2 linked regions of the Caenorhabditis elegans genome follow. The protein of the gene in region 2 purifies or fractionates together with the protein of the main gene of each other region. This does not show direct contact. Each region holds a gene or a part of one and is shown on either strand. Other genes may lie near its edges. The genes, in order: F52B11.2 and rml-5.

Evidence for each region.
Region 1: the proteins of rml-5 (region 2) and F52B11.2 fractionate together in Caenorhabditis elegans (co-fractionation; one large-scale study listed by BioGRID). This does not show direct contact.

Annotation. Positions count from the first base shown.
Region 1 is NC_003282.8:14,081,663-14,085,405, reverse strand, and holds F52B11.2 (putative phosphomannomutase), read right to left. Parts: upstream 1,839-3,743; coding exon 1,767-1,838; intron 1,618-1,766; coding exon 1,494-1,617; intron 1,434-1,493; coding exon 865-1,433; 3' UTR 711-864; downstream 1-710. Other genes in the region: cfp-1 (CXXC-type zinc finger protein 1), read right to left, coding at 2,382-2,587, 3,236-3,441, 3,667-3,743. UniProt on the Caenorhabditis elegans protein: Involved in the synthesis of the GDP-mannose and dolichol-phosphate-mannose required for a number of critical mannosyl transfer reactions.
Region 2 is NC_003279.8:1,791,144-1,797,017, reverse strand, and holds rml-5 (NAD(P)-binding domain-containing protein), read right to left. Parts: upstream 3,765-5,874; 5' UTR 3,759-3,764; coding exon 3,654-3,758; intron 3,227-3,653; coding exon 3,050-3,226; intron 2,397-3,049; coding exon 1,911-2,396; intron 1,668-1,910; coding exon 1,565-1,667; intron 958-1,564; coding exon 677-957; 3' UTR 594-676; downstream 1-593.

The sequences.
Region 1 (3,743 bases), on a different chromosome or scaffold from region 2:
CATAATTATGGTGACAACTTCTCGCGCCTATAAAATTTGATTGAGCTTTCCAAATATAGTTAAAGCACACAGGTTTTATTCACAATTTTCTAGCAAACCAAAAATGATATTAAACTTAGCCAGGTTAAAGCTATATTACCCAGATTATCTGCAAATGAAAAATTTAGAAAATGCTGCTCTAAAAATACGGTGCCCGGTCTCGACACGACAAATGTTGGCTAACTGCGAAGAGGTGTGCGCCTTTAAAAATTACTGTAACTTCAAAATTTTGTTTCTGCAGAATTTTCTTGATTTTTCATACAGTGCATTTTTTTCCAACTTCTACGACTAAAAAAAACGCGCATCCCATTGATTTGTTGAGCGCGTGGCGAGACCAATGACGGGATCATTTTGTATAAATGCGCGCGCCTTTAAAGTCGTAGAAGTGGAAAAAAAATGCACTGTAGTTTTCGTTATTATTTATTTTAATCTAAAAATTGAAAAATCGATTAAAAAAATTCTACAGTACTCATTAAAGGCGCACACTTGATTGTATATAACAAAAATTGTCGCGTCGAGACCTGGAACCCCATTAAATTGGTAAATTTGGATAATCAGAATATCAGCCAAGATCGCTGTAAGTTTATTCTAGTTTTTGGCGTGCCTACAAGGCATCATGTCCGCCGTGTAGGCGCGTAGGCAGGCCTAGATTCCAGGCAGTTCAAATTCGATTTCATAAACTATTCATATTTCACAGAAAAATGAACTGCGGTTTATCCAAAAAAAAGAAACCAGTGGGAATGAAAAGGATCACAATAAATAAATACTAGTATTTAGAATTACATAAATATTTAACTAGAAAAACAAAAAGAATATAATTTAAGCTTAATCCAACTCCTTGAGCACATTCTCCACATGTTTCCGAGTATCTTCTGGCCCTTCAACAGTATGTCCGACAGTCCGTTCGTCGGCAAAAATCTCATGATCGTTTCCGCCAGGCGCGGTTTTATCTCCGAAAAAGTGAATTGTATCGAAATCTGGCACTAAATATTGCAAACAAAAGGTCTTATCCCATCCAGTAGGGAATACATCAACACTAATTTGTCCTCCGATTGCAAACTGGAGCCCGTATTGCCCGAACTTCTCGCGGAGCTGCTCGGTGAACTTTTGGCGAATTCCGTGCTTCTTATCAAACTCCACAAATTGCATTCGTTCCTCTTGTGAGCAACTCCGTCCAATAGGCGACAAATTGATCATCCCGTTTCGGAATTCGACGAAATTTCCACGTTTCACAGGAAGTTGAATGTCAGACATGTAGCGGAGAGCAAAATTGATGAGCTCTTGGAGCTTCGCATCGCCGATGGCTTTCTGGATTGATTGTACTGGATACGGTTCGGTGCCCTTGAATCCGTAGAGCCCGTTCTCCGAGAATGTGTAGTCGAACAGGGAGAGCACTGGAAAAAATGAGGAAATTAGGATTTGTAATTCAAAAAAAAAAATTAGCAAAGACATACACAAATCCTTATCGTGATCTGCCAGCTGCTCTGTGATCTTCTTAAAGTCCGATCCTCCGACGATTGCCAGCGGGACACGCTTGCGAGCCTCGATCAGGAATTCTCGCATTTCAGGCGTAATAGTCTGAAAATGTTGGGGTTTTTTAAATTTAGATGTAGAAGCAAAATTTTGCCCCCCAAAAACGGCGCCTGGTCTCGACACGACATACTCTTCAAAGGCGCATTGTCGTGTCGAGACCCAGGTACCGTATCGCAAAAATCTCGCAGACTAACCTGACGAGCAGCAGTGAGTGTTCCATCGACGTCGAACACCAAAATTGTTCGGCTACTCGCTGGAGAAGTCATCTGAAAAATTTTTTTGGTGTTTTTTTTTAAATTTTTTAAGGATTTTTTTTGGAATAAAAGTTTTTTGTTGAAAAATTCGGAAAATGGAAAATAATACATTTAATGTCAATTTTCTTCGAGAGAGAGACCAAAATGTATAAAGAGAGATGAGTGAATAGTTGAGGATCAAAATGAAGAACACCGATAGAGAGAAATTGGGTGAAACAAAAAATAGAACAAAAAAAGGTTTTTGGAAAACTAGAAGAAAATAAATAAAATAATAATATAAAGAAGGGTAAGTTCAATTTGTTTTTTGTTCAAAAGATAAAAATCATAAAAATTTTGAAGAACAACGAATGAAAAAGCCAGTGCTTCGTGTAATATACGCAACGTGTCGTTAGAGTGTCTGCGTCTCTTCACTCTCTCTCTCTCCGCCATATTTCAGGACGACACCTATTCAAACAGAAAAAAATGTTGTTCAGATTTGGAAAAAAGATACGAAATTCCACGGAAATGAAAGAATATGATAGTTTTGAGGAAAAAACTAAAAAAAATAGGGAAATTTTAATTATTCTGCGTCTCCTCCTCCTTCTGTACAGCCAGATTTGCTAGAAATTCGGCGGTATCTTCCATTTCATCATCGTTTTTTGATGATGATGATGATGATGATGATGTTGAGCTGATTGGTGTCGTTGCTCCGTGAGCCGAGGCGGATGATGACGTGGATTGGGACTTGTTGAATAGGGACATTTGCTCGGAATCAATAATATCTGTAAAATTTCATTTTTAGATTTAAAAATCTGTGAAATTTTGAGGATTTTCTCATTCAGACACGGGATATGTGTCGATTTACGGAGCTCGTGTACTCCTCGAGCAGAAGCGGTTTTCCCTGGAAAAACCAGATTTTGAATTTTTTTTGCTGATTAATAACATATTTAACGGTGAAATCGCCAATTTTTTAATTTTTTTCAGTTGCTTTTAACAGCAAATTCGGCTTTTTGACCGTTAAATACAAAAAAAATTAGAGAAATTGGTCCAAATTCAAGCTTTTCGACAAAAACTGTAAAATTCTCAAACTTCTCCTCGGGGAGTACACAATTCCCGTAAATCGACACGGGGCAGTTTGTGCGAAAAATGCAGTGCCTGGTCTCGACGCGACAAATTTTCGCTAACTGCAAAAATCTGTGCGCCTTTAAAGATTACTGGAACTTTAAATTTTAGTTGCAGCGGAATTTCCAGTGATTTTTATAGTTTTCCGATAAAAAAGTTAAAAAAAAACCAAAATTTGAAATTACAGTAATCTTCAAAGGCGCACACATTTTTGCACCCAACAAAAAATTGTCGTGTCGAGACCGGCCACCGTAATTTTGGCGCGAAAATCGCAAAATTTCGCAGAAAAAATGAGCATTTTTCCGTACTCGGCTGTTTGTGCATCATAATCGACAGAGCATTCGTTGTCCATTCGGCGTGAGCATTCAATTTGTGCATCTCGTGGCACAGCTCATACATTTTCTGAAACAGACAAGCTTGTTCCAGCTCAATAGTTCCTCTCAACGATGGTATCCATTTGTGATGCTTGTGACACGCGTCCTTCTTCGTTCGACAGCCTTCCTCACCGAATGGGCTGAAAATTGATTGATTTGCAATTTTATTTGCTGAATGGCCGAGGTTTTTCTCGGCCACGGTCGAAGATCTGACAAGATTCAGCGATTTTTTTGCTATTTTTCCCGAATTTTTCTTTTTTTTCGGTCATTTTTTCACAATTTTTCACGCAAAAACGAGCAAAAAAAGCTCTAAATCTCTTGTCGGATCCTCGGCCATCAAAAAATTCTCCAAATTCTCCACTAACTCTTCCATTTCAATCAATTCTGAAACTGTCTTCGCCGTCTCAATCATTCCATCTTCCCATTTCTTCGGATAACCGCA
Region 2 (5,874 bases):
TTTGAACGTAGAGTACACCAGGGGCCGGCAATTCCCGTTCGGCAATTTTTTTTGTCCACAAATTCGGAAAGTCGGCAAATTGCCAGTTTGCCGATTTGCCGGAAATTGTCATTTTCGGCAATTTGCCGGGTTGTCGATTTGCCGGAAATTTTCATTTCCGGTAAATTGCCGGTTTGCCGATTTGGCAGAAATTTTCAATTCCGTTAATTTGCCGTAAATTTTCAATTCTGGTAATTTGCCAGAAATTTTAAATTACGGCAATTTGCCAGTTTTGCCGATTTGCCGGAAATTTCAAATTGCGGCTATTCACCGGTTTGCCGATTTGCCGGAAATTTTAAATTCCGGCAATCTGCCGGTTTGTCGATTTTCCGGAAATTTTCAATTCCGGCAAATTGCCGGTTTGCCGATTTGCTGAAAATTTTAAATTCCGGCAAATTGCTGGTTTGCCGATTTGCCGATTTTCCGGAAATTTTCAATTCTGGCAAATTGCGGGGTTGCCGATTTGCCAGAAATTTCCAATTTCGGCAAATTGCCGGTTTGCCGATTTGCCTGAAATTTTCAATTCCGGCATTTTGCCAATTTGCCAGTACAACACTAATTTCAAAATTTATTGATTGAAAAAATCGCAGAAAAAGGAATGCTTTAAGTTCAAAAATAATTTGCAAAAATTCAATAATTAAATATTATTATTAAGTCCTCCAGTCTTGCATGCCTTAATCGATTCCAGCACGTTTTTATCGATTTTCTGTCCAATTATGAGCGTTTTTTCGAAATATTCCAACATTTTCCCAGTGTATCCTTTAACGGCAAGAGCTGAAGACTCTTGGCTCATAGAAGTATTTCCAAAATGGGTGAAGTGTAGGGAGAACTTTTCGGCAATACTTGCGAGAAGCCATGGAAAATAGAGATTAGTCGCCATATTGGTACGGAGAGTGAAGCAGTCGCCTTCGAATGAGTCTGGAATTTGAAATAAAAAGCTTTTTTTTGGCCCAGAATTTTTTTCTCGGTGAAAAAATATTTTAGCGAAAAAAGCTTTGATTGAATTTTGAGACAAATTTTAAGTCCAAAAAAAATTTTTTTTTTGACATTTTTGAATTTTTTTAAAGCATAAATTGACATAAATTTCGACCAAAAAGATTCTTTCGTGGCCTAAAAACTTTTTGCGGCCACTGGCTTCCCTCATAAATTGAAATGGAAGAGTTTTTGCCGAACTAGGCCATTTTGGCTCGGCCATATCTGGGGTAGATTTACGGCGCGTTTCGTGTCGCGTCGCGGCTTGATTTTAGTTGTAAAACTAAATGTGTTTGTCCGTGTGGAGTATACGACTTTCCCACACGTTTTCCGGCGGGCGATTGTCAATGGAGCGCGAAAAATTCAATGAGAAAGGCCAGAACCCGTGATTCGTGAAATTGAATTTTGAGACAAATTTTAAGTCCAAAAAAAATTGTTTTTTGGCATTTTTGATTTTTTTAGCGTAAAAAGAAAAGCATTTCCGACCAAAAAATATAATTTCATGGCCTAAAAACTTTTTGCGGCCACTGTCTTCAGCCACCAAGTCACTTACCGGTTTCATTTCCGAAATAAACCAAATGGGATGGATTGATTGTGTTAATCTCATCGATAACCGATTTATCAGTGGCTTCTTGCAGATTTGTGATTGTGGATTCCTGGAAATTAGTTAAGTTTTGACTTTTTGAGAGTTTTAAAAATTTAGAAACGAATTTTAGACACTTTTTTTGAATTTCCCGCTTAGTTTTACCCCTGGAGCAGCAAATTGTCGTAAAGTATGGTGTTTTTTTTTTTGAGGCTACCGTAATACAAAAGACGTAATTTTTAGATATTTTCTGCAAATTGTCGTAAAGTATGGTGTTTTTTTGTGGCTACCGTAATACAAAAATTTGAGATCAAACCTTGGAAACCAGTCCCTCCAGCTTTAGCAGCTCCAAAAATTGAGTTTTCAGTTCCGAATTAGCTCCGAAAACTAAGAAAATTGGCTTAAAAACTTCTTCGATGGGTCCCTGTTCCTTTACAGAGCCAGACGGGCTCCAATTCGTTTCTTTCTGAATTTTTTCAGCTGAAGAAGCCGAAATATTGTAGACCTCCGCTGGTTTTTGGCTTTGTGCCAACTTTTCAATTGCCAATAATCCACGTGTCGCGTCAGAAATCGATAAATCATCGGATACCCTTCCGATGACCATTGGAATACGATAACTGACAGCATAGCTGTGAGCCATTGCTTCAACGGACATTTGAGCTGAGCCGATGAATGTGACCGGCTCTAGAGGTTGGGTCTCGACACGATTCTTCGCCCTACCGTACACCTCGTCACCACTAATGAGAACCAGAGATGGTGGGGATGCGGATTTACGGATTGCATCGAGGATTGACGTGATTCCCTGAAAAAAATATTGATTTTTTTTTAATTCTAGGGGTTTGTCAACTGAGCGCGCGTGCTTTTACGGAAATTTTTCAAAAAAATTTGAAATTTCTGAAAATTTCTGCAATTTCGTGAATTTTCTAAATTGTTCAAAGATTTTTGGAAATGTTGATTTATTTTTAAAATATTTTTTTGTATTTTTTTTAGAATTTTAGAAAAGATATAAATTTTTCAATTTTTCTCAACCTTTTTTTTAAAGAAACCTCTGGAATTTTCTGATTTTTTTTAAAGCATTCAACATTTTCTAGAAATTTCGGACTTTCAGGTGGTGTCAGAGTGTCTCATTTTGGCTTGATCTACGTAGATCTACAAAAAATGCGGGAGAAGAGACGCAGATGGTTTAGAACGTGCTGACGTCACATATTTTTGGGGGAAAAATCCCGCATTTATTGTAGATCAAACCGTGATGGGACAGCCTGACACCACGTGGACTTCTGGAATTTTTATTTTATTTTTCAAAAAAATATTCCAAATTTTCTGATAATTTCTGACTTCCCAGGAGTTTTCTGGATTTTTTTTTTAATTTCTGACTTTACGAAATTCGAAATTTCTCTATTTTCACGTGGAGTACACCCAATGTTTGCCAATAGAGCATGTTTACTAAAACCTTACCAGAATCAATTTCTTAGCTCCTTGAATTGGCTCCAAGAGCACATCAGTTGTGGTGAGAGATGCGTCGAAAATTGTTTGGATTTTGTAATTTTCGATTAGATTTTTGATTGCTTCCTCGTTGATTGATGATAAATTGATAAGTGTGAGCGATGGATTATTGATCAGATTTGTTGGAATCTGGAAGAGAAATTTGAAATAATTAGGCCATCATGAAATTTCTCGGCCACCTGAGAATTTCTAGGCCACTCTAGCATTTTCAATGGGAACCATTTTCGCTGTTCGGCAATTTCGGTAATTGCCGAAAATTCAAAAAACCGGCAATTGCCAAAATTGCCGATTGCTGAAAAATTTGAGAACCTGCAATCGCCAGAATTGCCGGAAATAAAAATTTCATACTTTTTGTAGATTTAGGAGCCTAAAAATGCAATTCCGGCAATTCCGGCAATTTGGACAAATTTGGGCAAATTTGCCGAAATTACCAATTGCCGGAATAGGAACGTTAAACTTTTAAGGCCATTACAAGGATTTCTCGGCCAGCTGGAAAATCCTATACTACTCGATAATTAAAAATTAATTTTCGAAAATTTTGTAGGCCACCACTTACCGCCTCATTATTGTGCAGAAGAACCACATTTCTTCCGTTTTTTAGCACCGCCTCCGCAAGTTGAGTAGATATTTTTGAAATCCCGCCGGTAATCAAAACGGTCATTTTTCACTGAAATTTCGAAGGTTTAACAAAAAATCTGCAACGCCTAGCAACGGAGTGTCGCTTCACGGGGTTCTGGCCTTCCTCATTAAATTTTTCCCGCTCCATTGACAATTGCCTGCCGGACTGGGAAAGTCGTGCACTCCACACGAACGAATACATTTAGTTTTACAACTGAAATCAAGCCGCGACGCGACACGCAACGCGCCGTAAATCTACCCCGGATATGGCCTGGCCTAGTTCGGCAAATTCTTCCATTTCAATTTATGAGGGAAGCCAGAACCGCGTGTCGCTTGTCAAAGAAATTTTTTAAAATTAATTTTTTAAAATGTGTTTTGGGAAAAAAATTTTTAAAAAAAGCAAATTATTTTTCAAAAAACCGTTTCCTCAATATGTTCAAAAACCAAATTAATTTTAAGATGAACATAAATTCTCCAAAACAAAAAAAAATAGAAAGTCGAGAATGAATACAGTTTCTGTATGACATATCGCGGTCAAGGACGGCAGCGCAGAGATCGCAACGAACAGATAGAAGTGAGAGAGTATTGGTAGATGAGAGCCGCAGAGAGACATGCGAATGAAATCGAGATAGATCCAGGACATTGATTGTATACTCTATCTGCGACAATAGAAGTTTTGCAGCCACGTAGCATGAAAAACCACAGCATTCAAGTTTCGCGCGCCAAAATTCTTTCAAAAAGTTCTGAAAATTCTGAAAAACTTAAACTTACAAGGGCCAAATAAAATATATTTTAACTAAGTTCCAGACTTCTAAATAAAACCTAATTCGTTTGAAAAAAAACCCCATTCTAAATAGGCCCCTGGTGCAAAAAAAATCAGTGGCAGAGTGTCCCATTTCGGTTTGATCTACGTAGATCTACAAAAAATGCGGGAGAAGAGACGCAGAGTTCTCAACTGATTTTGCATGGTTAAGAGTGACGTCACATTTTTTTGGGCAAAAAAATTCCCGCATTTTTTGTAGATCAAACCGTATTGACGGACTGAAACCAAGTGGGAGCACAGCTTTGAGCTGCAAAAAAGTCGCTCTGAAAAATTTTCAGTCTAGTCGCCACTCTAGTCGCCAGTTTGGTCTGAAAAATTATAATTCAATTTTTAGAAAATTCTAGAAGTTTCCAGATTTTTCTAAAAAAGTTGTTTTTTTTCTCAGAAAATTTGAATTTCAGCCAAAATTTTATCACAGAAGATTTTAATTCCCACCAAAAAATTTTCCCATTAAATTTGAATTTGAAAAAAAAAAACTAAATTTTTTCTTAAACTACAGTACTCCTACAGCACCCCCTACAGTACTACTACAGTACCCCGGCTATACCCCCTACTAACCTCAAACCAATATCTCTTCAAAAGACAAAAAGTCAATTTTTCCAAAACTACAGTAATCCTACAGTACTCATACAGTACCCCTACAGTACTACTACAGTACACTGACCATATCCCCATACTAACCCTATACCAGTATCAATTCATAATATTTTTTAATATATAAATAATGATCTTCGCGGCAAATTTTTTTTGACAATTTTTTATTCAAATTTTGGCCTAAAAAATGGGCGGAGCCTAACAAGAGAAACAAGTTTCCGGAGACGTTAATTTTTGGAAATTTCTTGATTTGGGCCATAATTTTCCAGATTTTTTTTAGTACTGATTCATAAAAAAGTAAAAAATTAGCTTTATTCAAAAAAAGAAAACTTTTTTTTTTCGAAATTAATTATCCTTATCCTTATCATCGAGGTCATCATCAACTTGCAATGAGTAAAGAGCCATCACATACACGTAGAATAGAGAAATCAATCGATACGTGGCATATTTGCGAAAACGACCGAACATTCAGATAGGTGTAGATTGAATAATGAATGATTTTTCATGGAAATATGAAATTTAAAATTAAAAAAAAAACAGAATAATAAAGTATGGGAAATAATATGAACAGTGATAAGAGATCAAAAGAAAACCGCAACAATTATCACTTTTGATAACAAATTTTAAGGTTTGGTAAATTGTTGCGAAAACTGGAACAAAAAAATTGGGCAAAAATAAAAAGTTGTCTAAATTTGTTGAAAATAGGTAATTCATATATGCTGAATTCAGAAAATCTAGGTTT